4 linked regions of the Notamacropus eugenii genome follow. The protein of the gene in region 1 purifies or fractionates together with the protein of each later gene. This does not show direct contact. Links are inferred from orthologs where the notes say so. Each region holds a gene or a part of one and is shown in the gene's direction. Other genes may lie near its edges. The genes, in order: RBBP7, SAP30L, ARID4B and PHF12.

Region 1 (7,047 bases):
TACAATATGTTGTTTACAAAAAACACATTTGAACCAGAGACACACACAGAAAGTAAAAGTAAAAGACTGACTGAAGCAGAATATATTCTGCTTCAGCTAAAGTAAAAAGAAAGCAGGGGTAGCAATCATGATCTCAGACAAAGCAAAAGCAAAAATAGATCTAATCTTGTTAAATGAAGCAATATCAATACTTAACATATATGCACCAAATGGTATAGCATCCAAATTTCTAAAGAAGATGTTAAATGAGTCATGGGAAGAAACAGAAAGCAAAATGATACTAGGGTGAGACTTCAACCTCCCCCTTTCAAAACTAGATAAATCTAACCACAAAATAAGAAGTTAAGGAGATGAATAGAATTTTAGAAAAGTTAGATATGATAGACCTCTGGAGAAAATTGGGGATAGAAAGGAACATGCTTTTTTCTTAGCATTACATGGCACCTATACAAATTTGACCATAGGGCATAATTACCCTGCAAACAAATGCAGAAAGACAGAAATATTAAATTCATCCTTTCCAAATTACGATGTAATAAAAATTACATTTAATAAAGGGCCATAGGAAGATAGGCTAAAAACTAATTGGAAACTAAATAATCTAATCCTAAAGAATGAGTGGGTCAAACAACAAATTAAAGAAACAATCTAATTTCATCAAAGAGAATGACAATGAGACAACACACCGTAGTTTATGAGATGCAACCAAAGCAGTACTTAAGGGAAATTTTATATCTCTAAATGTTTATATCAATAAAGCAGAGAAAGGGCGGATCAATGAACTGGGCATGCAACTAAAAAAAGCTTTAAAAAGAACAAATTTAAAATGCCCAATCAAATATCAAGTTGGAAATCCTGAAAAATCAAGAGATAGGTTAATAAAACTGAAAGAAAACCACTGAACTAATAAATAAAACTGAGCTGTTTTTGTGGGGAGGAAAACCCAATAAAATAGATAAACCACTGGTTAATATGATTTAAAAAAAAGAAATAAGAAAACCAAATTACCAGTATCAAAAATGAAAAGGATAAATTCACCACCAATGAAGAGGAAATTAAAGCAATAATTAAAAGCGATTTTGCCCAATTATATGCCAATAAATCTGATGGACTAAGTGAAATTGATGAATATTTACAAAAACATAAGCTGACTAGATTAACAGAAGAGGAAACAGAATACTTAAATAACCCCATTTAAGAAAAAGAAATTGAACAAGCCAACAATGAGCTCTCCAAGAAAAAAATCCCCAGGGCCAGACGGATACAAGTGAATTCTACCAAACATTTAAAGAACAATTCCAAAACTATAGAAACTATTCGGGGAAATAGGCAAAGAAGGAGTCCTACCAAATTCTTTTTATGGCACAAATATTCTGCTGACACCTAAACCAGGAAGAGCCACAACAGAGAAAGAAAACTATCGACCAATTTCTCTAATGAATGTTGACGTGATTACAGCTATCTATCACCAGGATCATACACTATAACCAGGTGGGATTAATAACAGGGATTCAGGGATGGTTCAATATTAGTTAAACTATCAGTGTATCTTAAGCTTACCTGTCCGTGTACATGTTGTTTCCCTCAATAGAATGTATGCTCTTTAAGGACAGGGACAATGTCATTTTTTTTCCATCCCTAAAATACCAGCACACAACCTGGCACATAGAAGCCTTTTACGAAATATTTATTAAATTGAATTAAGGAGAAGTCAAAGCATTTTGTAAACTTTAAGGCACAGGATTATTACTATTATTATAATACTTCTCTTGCCAGCGAAAGGTCATACACCCTGTACTATGGAAAGAACAATAACCCTAGGTTTTCACAAATAGCAAGTCTGTTTTCACATATTTATAAACTGGAAGAGACCTTAAGAGATCATCTAATTCAACCCCCTCATTGTATAAATAAATACACTCCTTAACTTGCCCACAAGTAGTAAGTTACAGTGCTGAGTAGCTTGAATCCGAGTCCAGTGCTCTCTTTGCTACAGTAAGTTGTCTTTAACTCTCCATAGCTTTTGTCAATTAATACCAAGGCCGTCCTTCCCCACATCAAGTCTAAGGTAGCATGGCATCGTCAAATAATCACTGAGTTGGAAAACAGGAAAATTAGGAAAACTAAACCTCTCACTCTATTTAAACAATTGCCCATATGTCATTTCATTTCCTTGTCTTAGTGACATCACTTGTAAAATAGAGATTAACAATATCTTTCCTATTTCATTTGAAGATCAAATGAGGTTGTACAATGAAAGCACTTTAAAAATATTAAGTGTGATTCAAGCAAGGCATTACTATTATTATTTCCTCTACTCCTTATGTATTTTCACAGTGGGGCCCTTTCTCACAGGAGTATATAGAGCCTACAGTTTTCAACCCCCGGTTAGCCTTCTCAGTATTGAGGTATCCCCGCACCATCATTCCCTTCTCAGGTCTCTCACTTCCCCTGTGTGGAGCCTACAGTGTCCACTTCCTCCATACCCAGATCCAGCCAACCTCCTCCTCTATCAGTCTTTTCTTCAGGGCCAGGAGGGGTTAATGCCTATTTGACCAGGGCCAAAGAATGAAGTGGCCCCATGGGCACTATGCCTTGGTTCTTCTGAGAAAGGCAGTGCTTCCCCTGAAAGAGGGGAGGCAAAGTTAAGCAAAGGATGCCACAGCATGCACAGCCCTGATTTTGTAAGAGGAACACAAAGTCCAGTCCAGAAGGGTGGAATTACAGCTCCAAGGGCCCAGACTGGCATCTAGGCAAACCCTATCATTTTATACATGAAGACTAAAGGAATGGACCCTCCAAGGCTGCACAGAAGCAGTTCCTCTTGTTTCTTCCATTGCACCATTTCGAGGCCTTTTAGGGTCTGTGAACTTAAAAAATAATAACTATTTTGATAGAACTGTAACCCTATGTATTTTATTTTACGTCTTTAAGACATTAATCTGAGAAGAGGTCCAGAGGCTTCACCACACAGCCAATGGGGACCATGACACAAAGTAGTTCCAGAACTTTTGAATCAGACAAAATAACAAAAATTCCATTTGGAGGAATGAACTGTCTAGAAGAGTTCTTCACCTGAGGCCTGTGGACGTAAATAAAAAAGCTGATAAGTGAATTTCAACAGAATTGGTTTTCTTTGCATTTTATACTTAAGTTGATGCCTTTTTTTGCTAAGAACGACTTTTAGAAGGACATTTCTGCCCATTTTATGACCCGGTCTAAGCACCCTGAGCGGGCTCCAGCCGGCACAGAAGCAGGCGGATTTCCCCTCCTCCTCAGCGGCGCCTCCGCTGTCATGGGGTCCCAAATGAACGGGGCCCCCCATTCCGGCGAGGGCGGTCCGACCATCCAGGGAGGGGCAGCTCTTCCGCCAGCCCACAGGCTCCCGGAGACGCATGGGAGGGGGCGCCTCCACTTTAAAGCGCTTTGATCCGCCGGCTCCGAGGACCTCCAAGCTGGAAGGGCGGGCGTTCCAGGGATCTCCAGATGCGACGAACGCGCGCTCCTGGGGAAGCCGGCCGGCGGCGAGCGCACGCAGAGCACCGCCCACCCCCACCTTTTCACCTGCGCGCTGCAGGGGACAACCTCATTGCGCGGGGAGTTCCTTCAAGGGCGCTTGCGAAGGTCAAGGGTCTTTCCTCTAGCAACACAGGACACGATTATGGATTTCGCAAGACTCGAGAACCGCAGCTTCCTGGCGGCCGCTCCCCAACACGCAGTCATTTCCCCGGTTAGTGCAATACTACTAGGACTTCCACGCCACGTGCAAAATCTCCTCTATAACTAGGGGAGGGGAAAAGGAAGGCAGGACTGGCCAGGTGCGCGCCAGCTCCCGCCCGCGGATCCCGAGTATTCCCCGCCTCTCTCTCCCAGTCTCTCAGTTTCTCTCTCCTTCCCCCCGCCCCCGCAGCAGTACACCCTACAGTGCGCACGCGCGCCTAGGCGCCGCCTGTCATTGGTTGCGGCGGAGGCGCCGTTTGCTCTCTGACCCTCCTTGGCCGCCTTCTCCTCTCCTGTCCCGCCCTCTAGGGACTCGTAGTGCGCATGCGCCTTTGCGACCGGAGCGGGCTGGTAGGCGCGGGTTGAAAGTCTCGTTCCAAGTTTGGAAAGAGAGAGGGAAGAGGTCGGGGTCCGAGCAGCCACGGCTGCGGGGGAAGCAGCGCTGCACGGCCTGACTCCGGAGGACGGGGGGAAGGGGGGGAGGGGGTTAGAAAGCAAGTGGCGGAGGCGTCCGGGGCTCCGGGTTGTGGGCGCTGGGTGACGCGGCGGAGACTGTCTGCGCCCCGGCGGGCTAGCGTCGCGCGGCCAGAGCGGGGGAGATCGAGACGGCGCCCGAGGGGCCTGGCGGCCGGCGGGGCGCACTGCCCGACACAAGATGGCGAATAAAGAGAGTAAGAGGGGAACGGGGGGTTACGGGGAAGAGGTTGCTCCTGGAGGGGTTCGCGCTCCGTGCGTGCGCGGGTCGTGGAAGGAAGCCAGGGCGGGGGGGGGCGCCCGGGGTGTCAGCCCCAGAAAGGCGCGAACAAGGCTCTGGGCGGCGGGGACAGCTTGGGGGAGGCGAGGGCGGGGACGCGGCCCGGAGGTCCCTGGGCACTTCCGGGGGGCTGGGAAACAGGCGAGACAAGTGCTTTTTCTTTCTCCGTGCCCTTGGTCCTGCGGCAGTTTCAGCACCATCCTTGAGACCAGGGTGCCCGGGCTCCCGGCTACCCCAGGTTTCGGGTGCGGCCGCGAGGCCCAACCAAACTGCCCTAGTTTTCGTTTTGTTCTTCGCAGGTTGGCAAAGGGGGAGAGGCATAGCTTTAAAAATTAAATTTGATTTTTAAAAATGATGAATACGGTTTTTTCCCCTCTCTCCCGCTACTTTCCATTGGAAAAAAAACGATTGTAACAAATACGTATGGTCAAAGGGCACGTCTGTTGAGTTGGTGTAGTGCGTGGAGGGCTGGAGATGTCATTTCTATTTTGGAGGAGCCATCCACCGAAATCTGGATTCCTATTTTCCTGTCAGATTGCCGCCTTCCCCTCCACAGACTCTGCTGTGTAATTGAAAGGGCATCTTGCAGTACTAGGTTCTGGAGACTCATGGTGGAATGGCAGATGTCAGCTGTGCCTAAACTTGAATTCCCAAGAAATAATTACTTACATAATGGCCAAACTGTATTTGCAAAATATTGGCTTGTTTTTTGCAGTAAATAAATGACTAGATATTAAGGCTGCCAGGAAAGTCTTTGTGGTTATACTCTTTAATAGTTGTGCAGAACCGGAAGGGCCAAAATATGACAGATGTGGTAGGTTTTAAAAAGTTCAAAACATTTGTCTAATAGAATCATATTAGCCCTGACTAAAGATATCCTTCACTACGTATTTGTTAAGTATCTCCCTTACATTGTGCTGAGTGCCAGGGATAACAGTGGCAGCAAACAAGGTTTCTGCCCTCAAGGAGCTCATATTCTAACCATATATGCCTATTCTCAAAACTTGAGCTTCTTTGAAGTTCCTAGACTAGTTAAGCATATTAATTAGTGTTCTCTTACTTTCAGTGTTTGAAGATACGGTGGAGGAGCGGGTTATCAATGAAGAATATAAAATCTGGAAAAAGAATACCCCATTTTTATATGACTTGGTTATGACACATGCCCTCGAATGGCCCAGCCTTACTGTTCAGTGGCTTCCTGATGTAACTAGGTAACTAAAATTTAAACAATTCAGTAATATTACTTTTACAAACAGTAAAATTACTTTCACAGAACAGATATTGGGATGAGGGGAAGGGGGAGACTTGGGGGATTGTAAATTTCTACTTCCAAATATTTGCATATATTTTGTTTTTAAAATAGGGGTTAAGACGTTTAACCATAATTTTAGAATCAATTAGAATTATTGCTGGAATGTATGGTTTCTTTGTATCATAAAGGACAAACTCTAAGGTTGGATATAGCTAAAGTAAGTCAAATGTGAGGTATTGGGTATTATTTCAAGATGAATATAATTTTATGAACGAAATAGAGACTGTAAATAAGGATGCCTTTGCAGGAAATATTGCTTAAGCAATATCTCAAAACTACAGGTGAGTACTTTTTGCTATAGGGAGAAAAGGACAAAGGTTTGGGGTAGAAGTAAGGAAGAGAGGTTGCTACAGAGTAACTTTTGGAAATAATTTAGTGCTGAGTATTTTAAAATATAATTTTTAGTTTCCTCTTAAGTGTATATGATTTTTTTCAGCAAATTGTAGTGTAAACTGAAATAATGTAAGAAAAAAATTATGTTTTAGGTATGCAGCCAAAATAATTAAAATTAGACTAAGGGGACTAATGTATTATTTAATCCGATTAATTTTTACTTTGTTTAATTTTTTTGTTGATTAAGATGTGAACATAATATAAAGCTCATTTTCTTTATAGGTTGTGGTGCTTTCTTATACCCTACCCACACATGTTGGCTTTAGAAAATGTGGAATACTCTTGTGCTTGTATGTGTTGTACAAATACATGAGCAAAGTTAAGTTGATTCAGAGGAAAGAACTAAGTAACATGGTATTTTAACATTGGATTATAATGAGTAGATTATTGATTTCAGATTCTGGGTTGGTTCATTCTACATATGAAAATTCGGATCTTCTTAATTGTCTTTCAGTTAAATGCTAGTAGTTTATGACATTCTTTATCAAATAACCTGCTATTTCCCCTCTTGAGTTTGTTTTCCTCATTTCTTGTTTAAGAATTGTGGAAGAAATAGCATGAAAGTGCCCCTGGTTTCTTCGTTTTCCATATTTAAATAGTGAACACCTACAGGGAGTTTAGGCAGTATGTTTGGATGAAAGACATCTAAATGTAGTCAAACCTCACATATCCATTCCCTAAGAAAATAACGTGAGTAATAATAGACAACATTTATATAACATATACTATGTGCCAGGTACTGTGCGCAACAGTTTACAATTATACAAATTTATAATTTTATTTATAATTGTATAATTTACAATTATACAAATTTAACTATATATTCTCTCATTAGATCCTCACTACAACTCTGAAAGGTAAGTGCTAT
Region 2 (7,037 bases), on another chromosome or scaffold:
GATAGAAATGAATTTATTTCCTGCAATAGGAATGAAGAAGACGGGAAACTAAATTTCAAAGAGTATCTCTCATCTACTTAAGGGCAGCCAGGTGGAGCAGTGGATAGAGTACTGGGTTGTATAGTTTGTCCTTCGTTCTTGAAGAGGACCATATCAGGATGAGGATGACATGGCTTACAACTGAATTGGATTTGAGGGAGGGCTGTGCAAAGTCCCCAGCCTCATTTTCTCCTCCAGAGCCATCTGATTCCAGTGGCCAGATAGAGATCAGGGCAAGTGGACATGATCTAGGATGCAGTGGGACGCCTTGGCCTTTTTAAGCTGAGGTCTTTCCGAGTTCTCGCTTTGAATGAGGCAATACACATTTAGTGATTAGGCCTATTTCAGAAGTGAGTCAAAGAAAGACCCGTTAAATTAAAAAAAAAATCAAACTGTGGGGGGAAAGCCCTCAGGGTTGCTGGCCTAAAGAGAAACAATTACTATTTACATTCACTCTAAGCTTTGAGGGGGCAAAAGATAACTATCAAGTGGTGCTTGGGCAGGGATCTAAGATTGGCCAATCAATAAGAACCAGAGCGAAATGGGTTTAAGGCATGGTCTTTAAGAAAAAAATCTAGTCAGTAAACCCTAAGATAACTAGGTGGGTTTCAGCCATCAAAAGACAGGAAGACCTGAGTTCAAATCTAGCCTCTGACACTTACTAGCTGTGTGACCCTGGGCAAGTAATTATCCTGTTTATCTCAGTTTCCTCGTCTCTATAATGAGCTGGAAAAGAAAATAGCAAATCACTCCAATATCTTTGCCAAGAAAACCCCAAATGGGGTCATGAAAAGCTGCATGTAACTGAAACAACACAAAGTTATGAAGTGCTTTAAATGCCAGCAGCTTTTATGTTTGATCTTAGAGGTCACAGAGAGCCACTGGAGTTCAGTAAGTCTATTAAGAATCCTTCTTGACTTCTCTGCAGGCTTTCACACTGTTGATCACTCTCTTCTCTCTAGGTATTCGTGACATGGTTATCTCTTCACCTGTCTGACTTCTCAATGTCCTCTGTCACATACACTAACCATAGGTGTCATTTCCTCCAAAGTTTTGTCCTAGGCCCTCTTCTTTTCTCATCAGCTCCCTTGGATTCAGACACAACCCATACCAAACTTTTAAATTGATTAATTAGGTAAACAACACTTGATCTCAATTTCCTTTTCTCTTGTTTTGTCTTCATTCAGAACACTAACAGGCGTTAACATCTTTTTTTTTTTTATTTTTTAATGTTTAACAATCACTGCCATACAATTGAGATTTTATCCCCCCCCACCTACTCCCCACTACCCCCCTCCCTCCCCACGACTGCATACAATTCTGTATAGATTCTACATATACTTGCCTATTGAGTATATTTTCACTATAGTCACGCTATGTAGTCAGACTAAAATAAATGAAAGAAATCGTATAACAAATCAGAACATGATACACAAACACATACCCATACACAAACATGATCTGCTACATTTTGTGAGTGACTTCCATATTTCTTTCTCTGAGTGTGGAAGGCATTTTGCCTTGAGAACCACCTTTGGGATTTTTTTTTTTTATAAGTAGTTTTTGCGTTATTACCAGGCGTTAACACCTTAAGTCAGACCTCAGAGGTAAACTCTAATTAAGCAAGGTGTGGTCCTTCCCCTCCCTAAACCCTTAGGGGCTTTCCTGGTCTGGACACTGCCACAGTTTTTATGTCCCCCAGGGCAGGATGCTGCAGCAGGTTTCCAGTATGTTTACTGGCACTGACTTCTCCAACAGGACTCTTCTACCCATGTCTGAAATTTGTCTTTTTGTGTGATACTGGGATGAATGAAAGAAGATATTCCTCTCTGGACTTGTCATTATTCCAAATAGCTCTTCATTAATGGAACAAAAGTGGTACAGTTAGGCTCTTCTGTGACCTCACACAGCCATGTTACCCACATGCCATCTCCCAACTGGGTGCCTTTGCATAAACTAGCCCCTGTGCCTGGGATGCCCTCCTTCCTCACCACAGCTTGAGTCCGTAGCTCCCTTCAAAGCTCAACTCAAGTGTACCTCCTAAATGAGGCCTCTCTGGTCTCCTATTTTCCTGACCACCCTTCAATTTCCCCCCAAAATTACTTTTTATGTTTCATATTTACTTACATGTGTACATGTTTTCCTAATAGAATGTAAATCCATTTCTGTCTCTGTATCTCTGGTCTTAGCATAGCACTGATACATAGTAGGCACTTGAATGTTTGATTTAATACCTACTTTACAATGTTGTTAGTATTTTGCAAGCTATAAATACAAGCTATCAATACTCCTAATAATTTTAATGATTCCTCTTTTGAAGTATAGGTATAAAGTATGAGAGACAGAACTCTCTCTGCTTCTTCATGAGACTATCTCCTCTCACTCCTTTACTCTTCTGTGATCCTCAGCTACCAGACACTGTCTTCGTTAACTCATTTCCTTGGTTTTGAATCTTATCTCTAACATTTACTTTAAAAAATGATAGGACTTGAATTCGTCTCATTCTTCCCCCAATACCATCCCCTCATCCAAAACACTTAACTACCAATATGATCTTGGGCAAATCACTTAATCTCCTTGGGCCTCAGTTTTCTCATCTGTTGGCTAGGTGACCTCTGAGGTCCTCTCCTGCTTAAATCTAAGATCCTGGGATCTTCTTTAGCTTTCTGCTTGTAAGAGTGTCTCTGGTCCAACCCTTTCTCGTTTGGAGCTATTACCTTGTCTTTCTCACCTACCCAGTCAGTGCCCCTGTTTCTACCACTTCCCATACATACAATAGTCCTTGTCCCTCCACATGATTCTATTTCCCTATAACCTTTCAACCCTTTTATGTCTCTCCTTTCCCTACAGCACGTGTCTCCCCATATTCGCTTGAGTCTACTGCTCTAACTCTTGTCACTCTGTCCCATCATTACATCTGTCCCACTGTCTATCCATGTTCATCCATCCCCTCCCCCCAGCTCTTCTCTCTCTTCCCATTCCTTCTGTGGACTCATTTGCGCTTTCATCCATCCTTTCTCTTCCTGGGTCCTCATCTCTTCTAGGTCTCTCTATCCCTCTGTCCATCCATTCTGTCCCAGTGTCTGTCTATTCCTCCATCCTTGAATGTGACGTTGTCCATCCTTCCCATCCTTCTAAATTCCCCTAACGTGTCTCCACCCTTTGTTTCCTTCTTTCTGTCCCTTTCCCCCATCTGTCCCTATGGTTGTCCATCTCTCTGCCCCTCATCGTCTGACTGTCCCACTGTCCCTCTCTTCTGTCCCCTCCATGGTGCCACCTGTCCTCTGTCCTTATACTCCCCGTCTACCCCACTTGTCCTTCTATGTCTATGTCTACTCATCCCATCTGTGCCTCTGTCCATCCCCCCTGTCCTTGTGTCCCACTGTCCATCCTACTTGCCCCTCTGCGTTCATCAGTCCACCTCCAGTCGGACCCTTGTCCGTTCCGTTTGTCCGCCCCCATTTGTCCTCCTGTCCATCCCGCCTGTCCCTCTGTGTCCATCCATCTGTGCCTCTGTCCATCCCGCCTGTCCCTGGGACCCCCCACCTCCTCTGGATCTGCCCGTCCCCGCTACCCCGCCTGCCCCTCGGTGGCCCCGTCCTCCCCCGCCCGTCTTGAGGCAGCTGCTGGCCCCGGGCCGCGTCTCCTAGCCCGGCCACCAACTCTCTGGCTTTGCACTTTCTCTACTTCGGACCCGTCCCCGCAGAGTCCAGGAAGGAGCCGGCCTCTCCTGACTGGCGGGCGCGTCGCCCAATGACCAAGGCCGCCGAGGGATCCGGCCACGCCCCGTGTCTTCTAGAGTCCAATGGGAACTCGGGGGCGGGACTTCCGCCGCCGCCGCGGCCGCCGCCTCGGGGAGAGCGGGGCAGCCCAGTGGGCGCCGCGGGGCTCGCGGGGCTCCGGGGGCCGCGGGTTCGAGGCCGAGCCGGGCCCCGGCGCGCTCAGGCAGCGGGAGGCCGGGCCCGCGGGCGGGGCCGAGGGGACCGCCTCGGCAGGGGGGGCCGCGACCGGGCCGGGGTCCCGGGGGCAGGGGCTCGGGCTCCCCGTGAGCGTCCCCGGGGCCGGGGCCGGGGCCATGAACGGCTTTAGCACGGAGGAGGACAGCCGGGAAGGGCCCCCAGCCCCGGCCCCGGCCCCCGCGCCCACCGCCGCGCCCGCGCCCGCCCCCGGCTACGGCCAGAGCTGCTGCCTGATCGAGGACGGGGAGCGCTGCGTCCGGCCTGCCGGCAACGCCTCCTTCAGCAAGAGGATCCAGAAGAGCATCTCGCAGAAGAAACTCCGGCTGGACATCGACAAGAGCGTGAGTGCCCCCGCCCCCGCCGGGGGAGGAAACGGAGGCCCAGAGAGGGCAAGCGACTGGCCCAAGGTCACACAGCCCGCGCGCCCCCGAGCTAGAACCCGGGGCTCCCTCCGAGCCCCGCCTCCCCCCACCCCCACCCCCAGCACCATCCCCGCTCCCAGGTGAGAGGGGGGCGGGAGGGGGTCCGGCGGCGACCCTGAGCTGGAGGGCAGATGGAGCCTGGAGCCCGGACCGGGGCAGCTCTTGGGATCAGCAGAGCCGTTGCTTGGTTTCTTTTGTTGTGTGCGGGGTGAGAGTCCCAGGGTTTGGGAAGCAGCACCGGACGGACCACCGGGGGCTCCCCATTCTCACCCTGCCCTTATGGTCAGCAGGCTCTCGTGAAGCTCATTTGAGGGGGTGACCTTGGGCAAGTCATCCCTCCTCTCCTGCTCCCCGTGTTTAGTCATCAGTAAGCTGGGGGAGGTTGGGACCGATTATTTCTAAGCCCCTCCAGCTGCAGCATATTAGGAGGAAGGTGGTGGGGTCCCTTTTCTTCAGCTTCTAACTTTTCCCTCCTGGGGAACGTACATAAACACACGCCCTGAATTTTTCTTGAAGAATAGTCAAGTTGCTCATGGTTTATCCCCCAAAGGGTAAGGCTGCTTACAGAGGAAGGGTGCTTTCTGCTGTTTGTGGAAGTGGGCTTACAAAGATGAGGCTAGAAATAAGGCAGAGGTCGGGTTGGTTTTTGTTTGTTTTCCTGAGGAAGAGTGGTTTTTACGTTGAGTGGGAAAAGAGAGAGAGAGAGAGAGCCTTCCTGGACAGTTGTTTTTCCACTTTCAGGCCTTAATAGTTCCTTGCTTGCACCTCTCATGTATTTTATTCCATAGACTGAGTCCTTCCTTAACCTTTCTTGTGCATCAGCCCCCTTATAGACCTCTTCCCAGAATGATGATTTTAAGGAAATGCTAAATTGCACATAGAAGTTAGTGAAAATAAAGATTTAATTATTTTCCCATCCAACTTCATAAACCAATCCCATTTTCCGAACCATTATCTTGACTGCTTATGTTCTCTGAGGATAGAGACTGGCCTCCAGTCATCAAGTGTCACCTTTGACCCTGGGCAAGTCCCTTAATCTCTCTGTTCATACAACTCTACAAAATTGAAATTTGCGGAACAATTACCAATCTGCTTTGGTAGAATTGAGGGAGTTTTCTCACCTAGAGTACCCATGCAAATCTGAACCACAAACAAAAAAATCTTCCCCTGCACCCAGTCTTTTCCCCACAAACATACTAGCTAGTTTCGAAAAAACGCCTCACTTATTTGTAGCATTTTCTAGTTTACTAAGCCCCTTTCTGTCCACGGAGGTATGAGGTGGATAATGTGTGCTGATTTTTAACCCCATTTTATACATAAGCAAATTGAAGCCCTGTGAGCAGAAGTGCTGAGCCTGAGGCCACATGTCTCAGAAGAGGTAGAACCAGCACAGAAACCTGGGGCTCTTGATTTCCTCCTTCAAGTGCTCTTTGCATCGCTGTGCTACATCTTGCAACGTTATAAATATTTGTTAATTGAATGAATGGGAATTTAAATTTGATTACAACACGCTTAGGGCCTCCTACCTGATTGTAGGAAACTTGTCTGCAGGAGGTTCTAGTTTACAATTCTAGAGATGTTCTTAATTGGTTGATAATGAGTGCTTTTTAGAGTGTCATCTGTTGTCAAGTTTAGTGGCAGTTTCACTATTAAGGAGTCAGATTTGTTAAGGAGACTAGACAGGGTCTATTTAAAATTCAAGAAGTCTTAAGTGAGATGAATGAGTTCTTCCCACAGGTAGTAAGAGCCAAGAATCGAACCCAGGCCCTCTCACTGCAAGTCCAGTCCTCATTCCACCATTCAGGGGTGGGGAACCTGCATCCTCGAGGCTCCATGTGGTCTTCTGGGTCCTCAAGTGTGTCCTTTTGACTGAATCACGGACAGGGTTGGATGTGTAGCCTCGAGGCTGCAGGTTCCCCATCCCTGCTTTATATCAAACTGCCTCTCATGTAGAACTAAAGGATAAGCCGAAAAAAGAAAAGTTCTGCATTATCAGGTAGGTTTGGGCTTTTATAAATCCTTTCTAAAACTGTTTAGCAATTGCCGGAAGAGTGCCCTTTTGAAATCACAACTTATATTTACTACAGTTTATAGGTTCATTGACATCTGGATGCTTTTACAGCTGGATTGAGATTACAACTCTCCTCGTTAATTTAAACTGTTTTTGGTGGTTTTTCCATACATCTTAGGGATAGGAGGAAGAGAATGATGAATTGCAATAGCATTGCTAAAAGTAATAACTCCTCACTTCTCAAATGGTACTTTTTAGGAATAGATTCACTAGCAATTCTCTTTTCAAGGTGGTGTCATTTCAGAAAGATTCCATTTTCCTCTCAAGAATGAACAGGACTTCAGTTAAAAGTAACAGCTGTCTTGCTAAAAATCAGATTTGCAAACAGGGGGGAAAATGGAGGAAGGGGATACTCTTTCCAAATTTCAATCACCTGAATTACAGAAAATCTGTTTGTTCTTGTTAATGGTTAAAAGTATATGCTGACTCAGTATTTATAGAATCATAGAATGTCAGAGTAAGAAAAACCTTAGAATATAGAATGCATTTTTAGGACTGAAAGAGAGCTTAGAAACCATCTAGTTCAGCACCCTTATTTTTCACAGA
Region 3 (7,751 bases), on another chromosome or scaffold:
TGTGCAAGGCTAATTAAGCTGTTCAAATTTTGTCAAATGCCTCATGCAATCTACACATGATGTGCCTATATCTTCCTGATTTATCAGTCTTATAATTTTATCAGAAAAGGATCCAGAATCATAGAATGGAAATTGGAAGGGACCCTAGAGGCCATCTAGTCCAACTCTTTCACTTTACATATGAAGAAACTAAGGCTCCGGAGGTTAAGTGACTTGCCCAGAATCACAGAGGAAACATTAGAGATAACATTTGAATCCAGGTCCATTGACTCCAGAGTTGGCGCCCTTGTCATGGCATCACACTGCTAGAAAGATTTTTCTGGGTGTACTTTTGTTTGTTAGTTTCTTAGATCATCTATTTCATGAATTTTCTATTCAGTAACTGATTTAGAACTTGATGAAATTTGCTTCTTCCTATCTAATGTAGGTTAAAACACCAAGATTGTTAAGGTCACCTAAATTAGGAGTAAACAGACTATAAGTGTAATGTATAAAGACTGGGGCATGGTCTTTTGTGAAATTTATTTTGGATGCTTAAAGCTTTGTTTTCTGATTCTCAGCAGAACTGTAGAGAAGTTGCTGCTAAATGGAGTCTAATAGTACCAGGTATTTGAATCTTTGATAACTTTTCTTAGTTTTTTTGTTTAAAAAAAAAAAAAGTTCCCTTTTCTCAACCCTCTTACTCACAGTACTGTTCTTCCTCAGTCTCCCTTGTGGTTCTAGTGACCTTCACTGAACAGATAGGATAATCATCTCAGACTCTGATCTCATTCTCTATAGGCTCTTGCATACAAAGAAAGAGTTCTTATACCTCAGGATTTCCACCCCTTAATACCATGGTATTAAGCCAACAATGTAATAAGCTTTGAGAATCTAGCCTGCTTGAGGTGTTACACACAAAAGAAAGCAGTCTTACATTTCATAATTATTTGCAGTTTAAGAAAAAGACAAAACAAAACTTTTTCAGGTCCTTACTACTAATATTTGACATTTGACCATTTATATAAATATGCAGATTCCTATAATATATGTTAATGCTTTGATTTTATGGGCATAGATGACAAATACATGACTCTAGTAGGCTTTACGATGACAAATGGTAATGAATTTCAAAATGAAATGCTCACCCTTATATAAGGAAATAAAAGAAATGGACCAAGCTACTATGATCATACGCTAATTACCTCTTGCAGCAGCAGGCCCAAATGATCAGTTGGGCAAAAATGCAATAGCTTCTAAGCTACAATATACTACTTTCCACATGATTAATCCTAATATAATTTGTTTCAAAACTCTATATTGCATAGACTCACAGCATCTTGTATAACACAGTTGTTTACCTACACAAAGCAGATAATTTTTCACCTGCCATGACAAGATTACAGAGTAAATTCCCTAAATTGCCCCACATCTGGCAGAATACTATTATGAATATGTCTGGAAAAAGGGATACAAGAAAAATGTGATATATAAGATTTTTAAAAGCTCTATCTCTATCTTAAACCAGTTTTATATATTTATTACACAGAGATGTAATTGAACTTTTGCAAAGTATCTTTGGAAATAATAATGACACTAATGTGACACTAATGTAATAATCTGTGATCTGTCCTGAGATGGTACATTACATTTCAAATTGAAGGTCTACCATGATCACATCATTTAAATAAATTTTTTAAAATCATGGAAAATAAAACTACCTTCATAAAGACTGGGCATGAAGCAGTTCTACAATTGTCTCTTGGGATAGTTTTGTCCTGTAAATTAGAACATAAGATGCCAGACAGCAAGGACCAATTGTATGTTTCACAATATCGAGCACGATACTGGGCCCATGGTAGGCTTTCAATAAAAACTAATTGATACTATTAATTAGCCATGACTTTGAACAAGGCATTTCACCTCTGTGGACCCCTTTTTCCTTATCTGTAGAAATGAGGAGGTTGAAAGAGATGGTTTCCAGGATATCTTTTAGTCTTAACATTCTATGATTCCACTTTCTCTGTCTAGCAGAATGTTTATCACTGTGTCTTTTCTAGGAAGGAAGATACAGGAATAATAGTGGGGGAATAAGAAAAGCTGTTTTGTCCTTGACTAACACACACACACACATTTTAAAATTTAGAAAGTGTTTTACATACATTTTCTTTTTTTTCCTTTGGAATGTAGGTGTCATTTATTGAAGGTAGATTACACAATCTGTTCTCTCCCTCCCTCCACAACACAACACGCAGATTTTCTCATTTGATCCTTGACAGCCCTGTGAGAGAGGTATATACTAAAGGCATAATTATTCCTATTTTATAAATGAAGGAACTGAGATTTAGAGTGGTTAAGTGATTTGCTCATGGGCAGACAGGTAATGAGTACGAGGGGTCCTTCCCTATCTCCTTATTGTTTTGCTTTAGAAGACAGAATATGTTATCTACTGTGGAATATGTCCTAACCTGATTCATCTATAAAATCTTAATTTTTTGCAGCAGATATACATCCTCAACCTTTTAAATTTAGGTATCAAGCTCCTTAGTTCAATTAAGTTCATTTGTGGTACATGACACCCAATGTTACAGGAGAACGAAAAACTACAAATGTCTCCCTGGAACAGGCATATAACTACGTTATTCCTCGTTCTTCCGATTGGAAAAACAGCCTGGGGCTTGCAATCAAAAAAGACAATGAGGATCGTTAACCTGAAAACTTGGTTAAAGGAAAGACATCAGACTAAAGGCATGCGTTATTTTTTAATTAATTGATTCCCTCTTAAAGATAACAGTCATAGCGCTATGGAGTCATTTGTGACTCTGACTACTTAGTACAGAAATCATCTGTCTTAAGTACATTTTGCCGTGAGAAAGAAACTCTCCTAATTAAGCAAATCATAAATTCAGTAAGACAGGACAATTAACAAAGCAATGTCAGTTGGGCCTTGAGATTCCAGGCTGTGTAAACATATAGTCTCGGTGACAAGGAAGGAAATCCCACCACCAGTGAGTGACAGGCTTCCTGCCCTAAACAGATAACTGACATAGGAAAGGGTAAACAAAGTTCAATAGAAATTACGATCTAAGATGTTTATATTTTCTTTACCACTAATATGCCATAACAAACATAGTATATGTCTATAGATAATAAGATATAGTGTCTTAGGTTAAAGGTCTCCTAAGGAATGTAGACTCAGCCTTGGCTGGCTTTTGCTGACATAGGAAGAGGCATTCTCTGAGTTTGCTTCAGAGAGAACAAAGAGATTATTCAAAAATTTTATATTAAACATTATCAGGATCAATGCGAATGATCTATCAAGCATCAAATGATTCCTGATTTTTTTTTTTTTTGCAAAATATAAAGAAGGTCAAAATAAAAATTTTTGCCAAGTGAGTGCATGTGTGAAGCCGGATGCTTTCTCTGGATTCGGAAGAGCTAGAACTCAACACCAAAACCTTAGGATTATGAGTCTGAGGAAATCTTAGATTTAAAGCAGGAAGGAACTTCCTACTCTGAGGGTTAATTCTTAGAGGGGGTGGGAGAAGGGCGAGGAAGTTTGTGAACTTGTAAAAATTTATTTTAGTAAGTGCATTTCAATGATTAGTTTACTTTGTAACCCTATGGATTTTGTGAATTAAGAAATAATGCTGTGAAAGGGTCCACAGGCTTCGCCAGACTGCCAGAGGGGTCCAGGGCACAAAATCCGATGGAGAACCCTAGTTCTGAGGCCCTCAACTTAAAAGAAGAAATTGGAGGTCTAGAGAGAATTGGTGTCCCCCTTGTGCCCACAGCACCACCGCCTGAATTCACACCCGGGTCCTCTGACTCCAAATCTGGCTCTTAAAAAAACGCACCAGGAAGTCCCCAGGAAATTGACAAGGCGCAGGCAACCAGACGTTAGCCACAAGCCAAGGACTATTAATTGTATCTAAGCCAGCCCCTCCTCCGCCGAGATCACCGCGTCCGACTCCCTCTTCATACGGAGCTCGCACTCCCGCCTCCATCCTCCCTCCCTCCCCCCCTGCCCTCCAAGAAAAAAAACACACACACATACACACAGCAACCCGCTTCAGCATCCGGGTCCTTGTCCTTCTTTCTTTTCTCTCCCCGCCCCCTCTGGTCTCTCACCATTCGGGTTCCCCCGCCGCCTCCACCTCCACTCCCGGTAGAACGGTAATAATGCTGTTTCACACCGCCGATCCCGAAGCAGCACTACCGTGCCTCAACTTCCTCCTTTATAGTTCACTTTGAGGCTCCTCCCGCCACCAACACGAATCCCTCCCACTGCTTCACTTCGGCACTCTCCGCCCTTTTCAGCCGCCAGCGACGCCGCATTACTCGGTGCGAGAAAATGCGCCATCCCCGTCCCACTGCGCAGGCGTCGCGACCGCCTCCCTAGCGATAACTAGCTCTGGGCCTCCTCCGCCCTCCACTCCACTCCTATTTCCCGCACGCCGAAGCGGAGCATTAGGGGTTTTGCAGTCTTTGGCGGTGGGAGGCTGAAGCTTTGGCCCCTGGGGATGGACTACAACTCCCAGCAAGCTATGCAGCGTAACTTTCTGTTTCCATAGAACTGGTGGAAAATGGCGTCGGTGTTTGTATCCCGGGGACCAATAACGAAAGGGTGGGGGCGGGTTCTAAAGATGACCAGCCAATCCCAGAGCTCCTAACGGGCAGACTAAGGAAGGAGGGCAGCTAGGGGCGGGAGGGAAAACGAGGGGAGGGAACAAGGGGAGGGGAAGGGGGATCGGGGGAGGGAGGGGGAGTGATGTTTGCCCGTCAGTCGAGTCCGGAGTGAGCTGCTCAGACACCGGATCGGAGTGGAGACCCTGAGCCGCTGCCGCCGTCACGGCCACTGTCTGGACCAGTGCCCGGACGGAGCCGCAAAGGGTCCATCGCTGTCTTTCTTTGGAGGGGGGCCCGATTTGGGGCCCGGACCCAGAGTCCGGGAGGGATTTTCTTCGTTCTTTGCTCCCTCCCCCCCAGCGAGGGAGCCAGAGCGGCCGCCAAACAAAGGTACCAGCCACCGCCGCGGGAGGAGGAGGAGGAGCCGCGGCCACCGCCGGACCCGTGGTCTCCCCTTCCCCCATCTCGCCCCCCGGGCCCGCTCCCCGTCGCCGGCTTCGGGGTGGAGCAGGGGAAGGGGACTCGGGACGTGACGGGCTTCAGCCTCAGCACCCAGCCAGGTAGGGGCATTTTCTTGGCGGGGCAATGCGGCGGCCAGAGGGGACACGGTTCCGGGGCGGTCGTGGGTCCCCGTATCTCCCCCCCACTCCGCCCTCCCTCCCCAGCCAGGAGGAGAGTGGTCGCCACCCCCGCGGCGAGCGCCCGAGCGCTGGGCCCTGCCCGCCCGCCTGGCCTTCGCCGCCGCGGACTCCGAGGCTCGTCGTGCCTCGGCCAAGTGGGAAGAAGGAAGGGGCGACGGGCCTCGGAAGCCCTGGGCAGGGACCCCGCCGTGGGCGCTGGTGCTGCCAGCCCCGCGGGGTCCCCGGGCTGGGCAGCCAGTTGTGGGGGCGCCGGCCTGACGGCCCCGCTGGGCTGCAGGCCGGCCAGCCCGAGCTCGGGGCGGGGAAGGATCCGGGGCCGGACTCCGGGGTTTGTTGTGACTTTCTCCTCTGACAGAAATGGCGTCATTGCCGGAGACGGGGAAACTCCACCGGGTCCGACAATGGGGAAGCGGCCCGGCCCGGGGGCGGCGGGGGGATGCCGGAGGGAGAGTCGGCCCCGCCGAGGGCGAGAGCCGGGCTCGGAGGGACCTTCCTTCCGGGAGGCGGCGGAGCGAGGGAGACTTGCGGCGGGGGGTTCTGAGCCATTTCCTCGTCCCCCACCCCGCGGAGAACGGGGTTCCTGGGGTGGTGATTCGGTGTCTTTTGTTTCACCTCAGGTGCAGGTGAATTCTGTGTCTGCGAGAAGACGGCGGCTGCCGAATCACCACCATGAAGGTAAGAAAGGGTTTCATGCGAGAAGCCTCCGGGCAGGGGGTGGGGCGGTGAGGGGGAGCCGGCCGTGTCGAGGTCCTTCGGGGGCGCGCAGAGTCCTGCAGAGCTCGGGGAGGGGATGGGGTCCGAGCTGGTGCATGTACGCCGGGCCTGGCCGCGGAGCTGGGGCTCTTCGGTGGGGAGAGGAGCTTAAGAGGAGCCTTCTTGCCGGGGAGAGAGATAAGAACGGTCTCCCTGACAAGTCTGAAAGCCCGTCAAGTTACCTCCCTCATCTGGAAACTGGACATGGTGAGGGTTCTCAGTCAGTAGAGACAAAGCGAAATTCTATTTTACGTGTGGGTTTTTAAACAGGTAATTTTTACTCTGCTGAAGAACTGTTCTTTGAATTCTGGTTTGAAAACTGCCGTGTGACTTGTATTTATTTCCAGGGACACAGTGCTTTGTGTATGACTGTATGGGATCCGTTCCTCTGCACTGATCCCTTTTGGGTTAAACGTTTTCAGTCGATTCATGCTTTTAGGAAAACTTTTCCCTGTGCTCAAGCCAGAAACCTGGAAAGCTGATAATCAGTTTTCCAAGTGGTGAGGATAGAAATCATAAAGGACAGTGCATAAAATGCAGGATTTTTTTTTTAACCTTTTGGGTTTGCTTATTTGGTTGAACATATTGTAGGCATAAATGTCTCTGTTAGTTTACATTTTCAGCTCAGCTAGGTATTGAATATTGACATTTTCACTTAATACACACTAGAAAGAAAAGAGAATTAGAATTTTGAATCATTTAGATTCAACTAGTGGTACCAAGCCAAGCAGACATTTTTCTTTTCTGTAAAAATTTGCTATGCTTGAAAAAGGTGGGTGTGTTCGTAATTGGTTATAGTAATAATGCTGCAAACTGTAGTAGGTTAAAATTTAAATGCTAGCTACTTTAGACAGTTCATTGAACAGTCTCTATATTTTGGTTCTATTTAAAATCAAGGCAATTTAAAAAATACTGTATCAGAATTAAAGCTTGTATTGCATAAGTTTATGGAAGGAAGTAAAATGCTGTAACCTTTTGAAATTCTGAGTACTGCATAGCCTATCCAGTTTTTGCTAGTTTCTTGGGTTTGTACTTTATGCATGTATATGAAAAGGTTTTTCATTCTTCCTCTCATTTTCTATATGTATAGTTCAGTTAAAGAGTATATAAAACTAAATGTGTCTGTGAGACCTGAAAACAAACAAGCATGATTATAATAATGACAATGGGGAATGTGTGTGAGACTACCAGAAGTGAATTCATTAAGAAAACCACAGTTCTGCCACAATTTTCATAAATTTCTTGGGAAAATATTGGGCTGAAAAATACATTAAGTTTAAAAATGGAGCAATATTTAACAGATAATTATGAAAGTTTTTAACAGTTATAACTTAAAGATTTTCTGTTTAACTCATTCTTTAAAGAAATAAATTTAGGCTTTTAAACAGTTTTATGTGTCAGAACAAAATCAAATTACACTTGGATATTTGTAATTGCATTTAAAATTGTTAGTTTTTGCTTAAATGGTACCAATGTTAAAATGCTTGATAGTTTAAAATGAACTAATTTTACATGCTACTATTTTTGGCATCATAATTCAGCCCTTCGGTTAAGAAGAACAATGTTGGTCAATGACATTGTACTTTTTTCACGTATAGACCTTAGCTTTTTGTGTGCAACCTAATTTTATGTGGTAAGTTAAGTTCTTTAGATATTATTATTTTGCTTGTAATTAAGGCCAGTGTCAAAATTGTTGTATTTTTATGTATCTGTGGCCCCAATTTCTATGATGATTTAGTAGCATTTGAG
Region 4 (7,355 bases), on another chromosome or scaffold:
AGAGCATTTCCATTCAGTCTCTATGCTCCCAAACCATGGGCAAATGAACTACAGGCAGGCCAGGTGGCAGGGTGGCAGAAACCTCCCCTCTATGTTCTTCACAGGCAAAGAATGGGGGCTGACCAAGAGGTAGGAAGGAGCCCACACAGTTTCATGTCCACAATTAGCTCTGCCTTCTTAGGCGATGTCAATTCTCTGGATCTTCCTGGAATGACCCCACACACACACCTCAATAAGTTTCCCCAATCCCCCTCTCCTATTCCAGAAGTGGACAACTATCCCTCTCTCCCAAAAGCCAGAAGGGTGGAAAGGAATCAATCCCAGGGACTCTAAGGGTTTGGGGACTCCCACCCAACCAGGACTGGTTCTCCTGGGAAATGTAATCCATACCAAAGGGGACAACCCTATCCTTCCCTGGCCTGCCCCACACTCTGAAGTATTTGAGTGTGTGAGAATGAGTGTGTGTGTGTGTGTGTGTGTGTGTGTGTGTGTGTGTGAGAAGGGGATGAGGAAAGGAGACACCCCTTCCCCTGATGTGCTGGTTCATTATATAAACATCTTTCTTTCCCAACCCAACCTCTCCCAACTCCAGACATATAATTTTCTCTTCCATCCACCAATATTTTTTCTTTCCATTTTTTTGGGAAGGGAGGGATAGAGGCAAACAAGTCCAGGAGAGGGGCAGTCCACAAGCCCAGAAAATTGGCCCAGCCTGCTCCAGTGGGGGACCCAAGGAACTGGTTGTAAGCCACTTTGTACGTGTAAAGTGTAACATAGGATCTAGGGTCTGGGCTCCAGCCAGAGAACAATCTTTCATTTCTGTTGTTTCCTTATTAAAAAGGTGTTTTCAACAAAGCTGGTGGTCAGGTGGATGGTGTTTACTTGTCGGAAGCATACTATGGGGAGGGCAAAGGCAGACACAAAAATGGATCCTGGGCTCCCTTAAAATCACAAGAATAAAAATGTTTATTGAGTGGCCATTATGTGCAAAACAAAGCCTGAAAAAGTTGGTACCACTGGGGAGAGGCAGATGACTTGGCTTTTCCCCTGGTGGGCACTCCCTTTGTCCAGGAGTCTAGCTGCTTACCCAGCACACTCCACTTTTCCTTTCCCTGGCACTGTTCTAGAGGCAACAAGCCAGACCCAGGAATGCGGCTGGGCACCTTCCCAAGCCCCTCAGTCAAAGATCCACCATCCCTGGTGTATCTGAGTATTCTTTTTCTCAAGGCATGCTTCCTAGCCAAGGGACTTCAATTTCCCTGGGCCTGCTTCCTCCTCTGTAAAACGAGCAGGGTGGACAAGGATGCCCTCGGAGGACACTTTTAGCTCCAGACCTAGGATCCTCCCATCTCTCCCTTGCCCATCCCCAAGGAACGCAAAGGGTGCAGTTCCCCAATCAACCACAAGAGGTCCCCTGCAGAGAATTCTGCTCGACCTGGCTCACGCTCATGCCTCCAGGTCTGAGGCTTGCCAAGGTAGCTTCTTCTGGTCCAGCCCAGCCCACCAAGGCCCGCTCCTTTGCCCTTGTGGGCAACTCCTCTCTACCGTGACCCAAGTGGGAGGTCTCCTGAGCACTTTGATTCCCTTCCACCTGTCACCAGAACAGCCTGATTTCCCTCATTAGCCCGCCTCCTGTTCCTGCTTGTGGCTGCAACTGATGGTGTTGATCAAAACAAAGCCTTGATTGCTGGGCAGGGCGCCAGGGGTGCCGCTTCTCCCTCTCTCTCCAGCTCCCCTGCCAAGCTGGTGCCACAGGGATGACACAGCAGCGCAGCTGAGCCCTTGGGGGCAGGAGTAAAGCCAATGACACCAGGGCATTTGAGGTCCCAACCTCAGAGAACCTGTGGGAGAGTCCTTCAGCGTGGGCAACAGGGCTCTAGCAGAGGCTGAAGCTGGCAGCCTTCACTCTCTCTTTCTCTCTGTATGGGTATATGGCTCACTCATCACTCCACTTTGGGAAGAGTCAATCACCAACCTTAAACAGCACAGACAGAGGCAGCAGAGAGAAGTGGTGAATACCTGTATATTCCCCATAAGTGGATTCCTGGAGGGAGGATATTCCCTAGGAAAGTCACTTCTTTCCCTTCCTTGACATAAGTATCCTGATTGAAGGAAGGGAGATTGTGAAGCAAAGGTCACAGACTTCTGCTGGTCTTACCATCCCACAAGAAGGACGAGCAATTTGTTAGACTGAGGCAATGAGGTTCAGTATGGAGAATCACTGGATTCTGGACTGAGAGCTTGAAGGGACCTCTGACACCATCTAATCCAACCCCTCCTTTTATAGATGAGGAAAATAAGGACCAAAGGATGTTAAGTGACCTAATGGGACCCAAAGTCACATAGTGGGCAAAAGGCAGAAACAAGATTTGAATGCAGGTCCTGTCTCCAAATTCATCCCTCTTTCCACTGCACCACCCTGACTCTTTAGGCTGGAAAAGGAGTTGGGAAAAGTGAGTGCAGCTCCTAACCCTGCCTCTACCTAGCACCGTGACTTGCAATCTCTAAGATTCTTTCCAGACTGAATATTCCACGACTGTGCATCGGAGATCCGGTGGACCATCCCTCACCCTGGGGCATGACCTTCATTTACTCTTCTCCATCTGTACCTCCAATCCAAAATGTTCCCAAACTCTGAGTGAAATAATAGTGTCCTTCAGACACGTATCCACCTGCCTGCCTCTCACAGAGACCTGACACGCAAAATTAAGGGCCTGGCACAGCTTACAATCGACAGTGCTCTCCTCCTGTAGGTCTCACTCTTGACCTAGACATCATTGCCCCCCCCCCCCCCCTCCCCGTGGGGACCTCTAGCCCAGATGGGGAAGGAACGCTCACTTCCCAGAGACTACAAATCCCAGCATGCAGCACTCCAGCGCCTAACGGACAGACCATGCTCTTACGTGGTTGTTTGTTGCACTAACGGCAGCTCCCATTTCTACAGCACAACGCTTTCCCCTGGCGTGGCGGTGGTGCAGAAAGCGCTTGACAAACCTTAAAGTGCTGTGCAAATGGGAGTTACCAGAGGCTCCCACGCTCTCCTATCGACCTTGGGATGCAGGCAAATGGTGCAAGTATTGTCATCCCTGGCTTACGGCTGCTTTCTGGGCGAATCTGGGCCTCGGTGGCAGGTAGACGATGATTGGGTTTCAGAGCCAGGGTTCCAACTCTCTGAATACTTCCTTAATTTCAGCGTTCGTTCCATACTGTATTGTACAAAACGTTCGGCGCCGTCGCCCGGACTACAACTCCCATAGTGCACAACGAGACTCGCTGACTTCAGTTCCCAGATTGCAACGCACTTCGCCCTACGCCCGGGAGCACCTAGAGCGTTGCATGTCGGGAATTGAAGTCCGCGGTAGGAAGATAGCCAGCTAATGACGTGGAGGAGCTCTCTGCCTCTGGCTTAGTACTGAAAAGCAATTCCCAGGGACGGTCGTCCAGAGGCAAGGGCAGGCGGAACTCTCCAGTGAGAAACGATATTACCGCGGCCCCTCTCCCCTTAAATATCGAGATGCTCGTCCTACGATTAACTGTTCGAGCAGGGAAGGATCAGGAATCTAGCCGCGGCCGTGACTGCCACGGCCGCTGCCCCTAGCAGTCCCTCTTTGGTCGAAACGTCCCTTTTCCCCCTTTACAAACATGGCGGTCAGGTCCAACGCAGCCGTCAGCACTGGCGCCTAGACAAACGGTGACGACTAGCATCACTAAAAACTCCCAACACTACCGACGGCCTAACAACCCCAGCCAGCACCACAGCTTGTCGTGTCCTGCTCACCCAAGTCGGAGAGCTCCAAGAACATACCCGTATGAGTTCCCTTTACCAAGATGGCGGAGGGAAACGCGCTCTCGTGAGGCAACAATACGCCTGCGCGCGAAGCGGGTGCGGCTTTGGCGGAGGTTGGGGCTCCGGGGGTTGGGATCGGAGTTGGAGCTTTCAGTACGCCTGCGCAGGGAGCAGCTCGTCCTCTGACGCCTGCGGCTGAAGGGTTCCTCTATTCGTAGCGGCTGCGCCGTGAGCCTCAGAGCCCTCCAATGCACTTGCGCAGAAAGAAGGTCCTTCGGCACCCAATGCGCCGGTGCGGTGAGGGGTGGGAGGGGCGTCGGCGCTCTCGGAGTTTGCCAGCGCGGCTGCGCGCTGGGGGGCGCCCCTTTTGCGCGCCTGCGCGGGAGCGAAGCCGCCGGCTGTCAGTGCGGTTGCGCGCGGCGAGCGGCGAGCCCGGAGCGCCTGCGCGGGCGGCTTTGCGGGCGCTCGCGGTAAGTTTGCGCCAAGTGCGCGGCAGCGGGGACGCAGACGGCGGCGGCGGCGAGAGGCGGAGCCCGGGGACCCCCCCCATCCCCCTTCCCCCCAGTCCCCTCACACAGCACCACCTCTGCTCACCTCTCGCCCCCCCTCCCGACCCCGACCCCCCTCCCGGGATGGCAGCGCCCGCCAGCCTCCCTGGCCGGGCCGGCGGCCGCCAGCGCCGGCTCTAGCCTGTGGGCCTAGGCCCCGCCGAGGCCCGAGCCCCGGGAGCCCGGAGCCACCGTGCAGCCAGCAGCCCGGCCCGGGACTGAGGGGCCGCGCCCCCCTCACGGCCCGAGGGGAGGACGGTGCCGCCCCGGGGGCCCCGCGGGGGCCGGGGGCTGGGGCTGGGGGGGGGCGAGGAGTCCGGGCCCTTGGGGCGAGAGGGAGGGTCAGGAGCGCCCCCTCCCCCCACATTCCCCCCTCCCCTCGGGGTCGGGGGGGGGCCGAGCGGAGCGCGCCCAGCCCGGGAGGTGGATGAATGTGGGAGAAAATGGAGACCAAGACGATCGTGTACGACCTGGACACGTCGGGGGGGCTGATGGAGGTAAGAGCGGCCCTCCCGGACCCCTCCCCTCTGGGCAGGCAGGCCGGGGGGCCTAGTCCCCCCTCCCCCGGCCTACAAAGCAGCCCCGCTTCGGGAGCGCCGGAGGAATGGGGGAGGGGGCTGCAGCCCGGCCCCTGAGGCCCCCGGCCCTGGTCGGCCAGATGAGGGGCCGGGAGGCTGGGCAGCAGCTCCCGGCCCGCGGCGCACCCGATCGGAGCTCCGAGCCCGAATGCCCGCCCCATCCCGGGGCCTCGGGGTGTCTCCCCGGCGCCGCCTCCGCGGCCCCTTTGTGCCTTACCGGCCGCTCCCCGCTCCCCTCCCTCGGTCCGCCTCCGGTCTGGGTCCGGGGCCTCGGCCGGCCGGCCCCGTAGACGTACAAGGAAGCGGAGCGCGCCGTCCGCCCGCCGCCTCTCCGGCCGCCTCGGCGGGCAGCGGGCCCGGGCAGCCCGGGGCTGGGGAACCCGAGGCGCAGGCGGGATGGCAGGAAGGAGGAGGACAAAGCGGGCGCGGGGGGCGGGCGGGGGGAAGAGCGGGGGGCCGGGGCCCGCGCGGGGCCCCCCACGCACGCCCCGTTTGTCCGTGTGCGCAGCAAATCCAAGCCCTGCTGGCCCCCCCCAAGAGCGAGGAAGGGGAGAAGAGGAGCCGCAAGCCCGAGAAGGAGCCGCGCCGGAGCGGCCGGGCCACCAACCACGACAGCTGCGATAGCTGCAAGGAGGGCGGGGACCTGCTGTGCTGCGACCACTGCCCGGCCGCCTTCCACCTCCAGTGCTGGTAGGTCCGCGGCGCCTCGCGGGAGCCGGGGCTGGGGGCGCGGGGCCGGGGCCGCGGGGGGGCCGGGGCCGGGCGCCTCCTCCGCCGCCGCCTCCCCGCCCGCGCCCGCCGCCGCCCCTGCCACCGCCCGAGCGGGCCGGGCCGGGCCGGCCGCTGCCTCTGTTTACAACATGGCGACCGGCCGCCTCGGAATTATATTTTTATTCTCAGCGCCATTTTGGCTGCAGAAAGGATTTGCCGGCGCGGCCGCAGCCCCGGGAGGCCGGCCCCTGGCCCCGGCCCCCTCCGCGCCCTGCCCCGCCCCGCGCCCGCCCCGCGCCTCTTGGGCGAGCCTGGCCCGCGCCCCGGCCCGCGATTAGAGCCGCCCCCGGGCGCCCATTGCGCGTCTCTCGGCGGCGGCCGGGCCTGGGAAATCCTTGGCCGCCGGGGCGGAAACGAGAGCGCGCCCGCCGGGGGAGGGGAGCGCTGCGGGCGCCGGGAGGCCGGCCGGCTCAGGCCGCTGCCCCGTCCGCCCCGCCCGAGGAAGGGCGCCGTCCGCCGGGGAGCTTCCGCCCCCTCCCCTTCCCTCCCCTCCCCAAAGGCCTCCGCCGCCTCGCAGCCCAGTTTGCGGCTCGGCCCGGCCCGGCCCGGCCTCTCCTGCAGCAACAGTTGACCCGGGCGGGCGGCGGAGCGACTGGGCGGGCTGGGGGAGGGGGCTCCCTGCCGCACCCCGCCTTTCAGTCTGGGGATCCTGCCCGACCTCTCCCCTCCAGCTTCAGTCACATTCTCTCCCCAGTTTGGGATGGAGTGAAATGCTGCATACTCTGTGTTTGTGCTAATTGTAGGGGTTTGAGCCACCTATTATTAGACTGATTACTGATAGTGAGGAAATTAAGGTTGTGGTCCGAAGTTGTGTGGGAAGAGGCCCCCTGCTGCTCCAGAGAGTACTGTTCTTGTCCGGGAGCGCACCCCAGCTTGCGGTGGTGCTGGGGTTTTTGTCCTGCAGAAATCTTTGCTGGTAGCTTTTAAAAATTTTATGGTGAGATGACTAATTAAGGGAGGGAATCCATGCTTTTAAAAGTATATGCTTCCTGTAACGTGTAATAGAGCCGGAGGAACACTTTGCTCTTTCAGTGCTGTGGAATGTCTTATACCTGAGGTATTTTGTGTGAATTGACAGTTAATTTCAAGTATTCTTGCTTCTTGTGAGATAGTAATTGTTTGGTAGATGTGGTATTGGGACAGGGCTCTGGACGTCAGTCGGCAATGTAGGATGTCTTACTCTTGGATGTAGTTGATGTTAGCTGAGTGTAATGGCTTCTACGTAGGACTTGGCTATTTGATAAGGCCCACACTCTCTAGTCTCATTTGTATAATCTGGAATTGACCTTGGATACTGTACAAGTGTAAAACCTGACTCCTGAATTTTTAAGTTCATCAGTTGAGACTAAATCTTGTCAAACTGGAACAGTTGTTTTCACTCTAGCTGTAGTAAAATTCTGGTTTGTCCAGGTTTTGTTGCAGTGAATCAAAATTACTTTTTTCCGTCTATGAATGAGATTGGTAGTGGTCATTGGCAAGTTGAGATTCCTGTTAAGTAAGGTACAGCATGTGTTTAACTCTCCTTTAAGATGATGAAACTGAATGTACCACTGACAACCCAAGTTAATGTTTAAATTATAAAACACCTTATTTATGTTGAATAAATATTGGCAGCCTAATTTATGTTTCTTATGATTTTTGAGAACAATGCTTTTAGCTATTGATGGGAAG

What was found.
Region 2: the proteins of RBBP7 (region 1) and SAP30L purify together in Homo sapiens (affinity purification with mass spectrometry; 3 studies listed by BioGRID and IntAct, counting the BioPlex papers as one, with this or other methods). This does not show direct contact. The link is inferred for Notamacropus eugenii from reciprocal best matches to the Homo sapiens genes RBBP7 and SAP30L.
Region 3: the proteins of RBBP7 (region 1) and ARID4B purify together in Homo sapiens (affinity purification with mass spectrometry; 3 studies listed by BioGRID and IntAct, counting the BioPlex papers as one, with this or other methods). This does not show direct contact. The link is inferred for Notamacropus eugenii from reciprocal best matches to the Homo sapiens genes RBBP7 and ARID4B.
Region 4: the proteins of RBBP7 (region 1) and PHF12 purify together in Homo sapiens (affinity purification with mass spectrometry; 5 studies listed by BioGRID and IntAct, counting the BioPlex papers as one, with this or other methods). This does not show direct contact. The link is inferred for Notamacropus eugenii from reciprocal best matches to the Homo sapiens genes RBBP7 and PHF12.

Annotation. Positions count from the first base shown.
Region 1 is NC_092876.1:372,855,114-372,862,160, forward strand, and holds the start of RBBP7 (histone-binding protein RBBP7), read left to right. Parts: upstream 1-4,039; 5' UTR 4,040-4,375; coding exon 4,376-4,391; intron 4,392-5,540; coding exon 5,541-5,685; intron 5,686-7,047. UniProt on the Homo sapiens protein: Core histone-binding subunit that may target chromatin remodeling factors, histone acetyltransferases and histone deacetylases to their histone substrates in a manner that is regulated by nucleosomal DNA.
Region 2 is NC_092872.1:382,823,988-382,831,024, forward strand, and holds the start of SAP30L (histone deacetylase complex subunit SAP30L), read left to right. Parts: upstream 1-4,031; 5' UTR 4,032-4,114; coding exon 4,115-4,339; intron 4,340-7,037.
Region 3 is NC_092873.1:394,938,883-394,946,633, reverse strand, and holds the start of ARID4B (AT-rich interactive domain-containing protein 4B), read left to right. Parts: upstream 1-4,732; 5' UTR 4,733-5,168; intron 5,169-5,866; 5' UTR 5,867-5,918; coding exon 5,919-5,924; intron 5,925-7,751. UniProt on the Homo sapiens protein: Acts as a transcriptional repressor. May function in the assembly and/or enzymatic activity of the Sin3A corepressor complex or in mediating interactions between the complex and other regulatory complexes.
Region 4 is NC_092873.1:36,320,473-36,327,827, reverse strand, and holds the start of PHF12 (PHD finger protein 12), read left to right. Parts: upstream 1-4,342; 5' UTR 4,343-4,766; coding exon 4,767-4,832; intron 4,833-5,421; coding exon 5,422-5,603; intron 5,604-6,328; exon of another isoform or gene 6,329-7,355.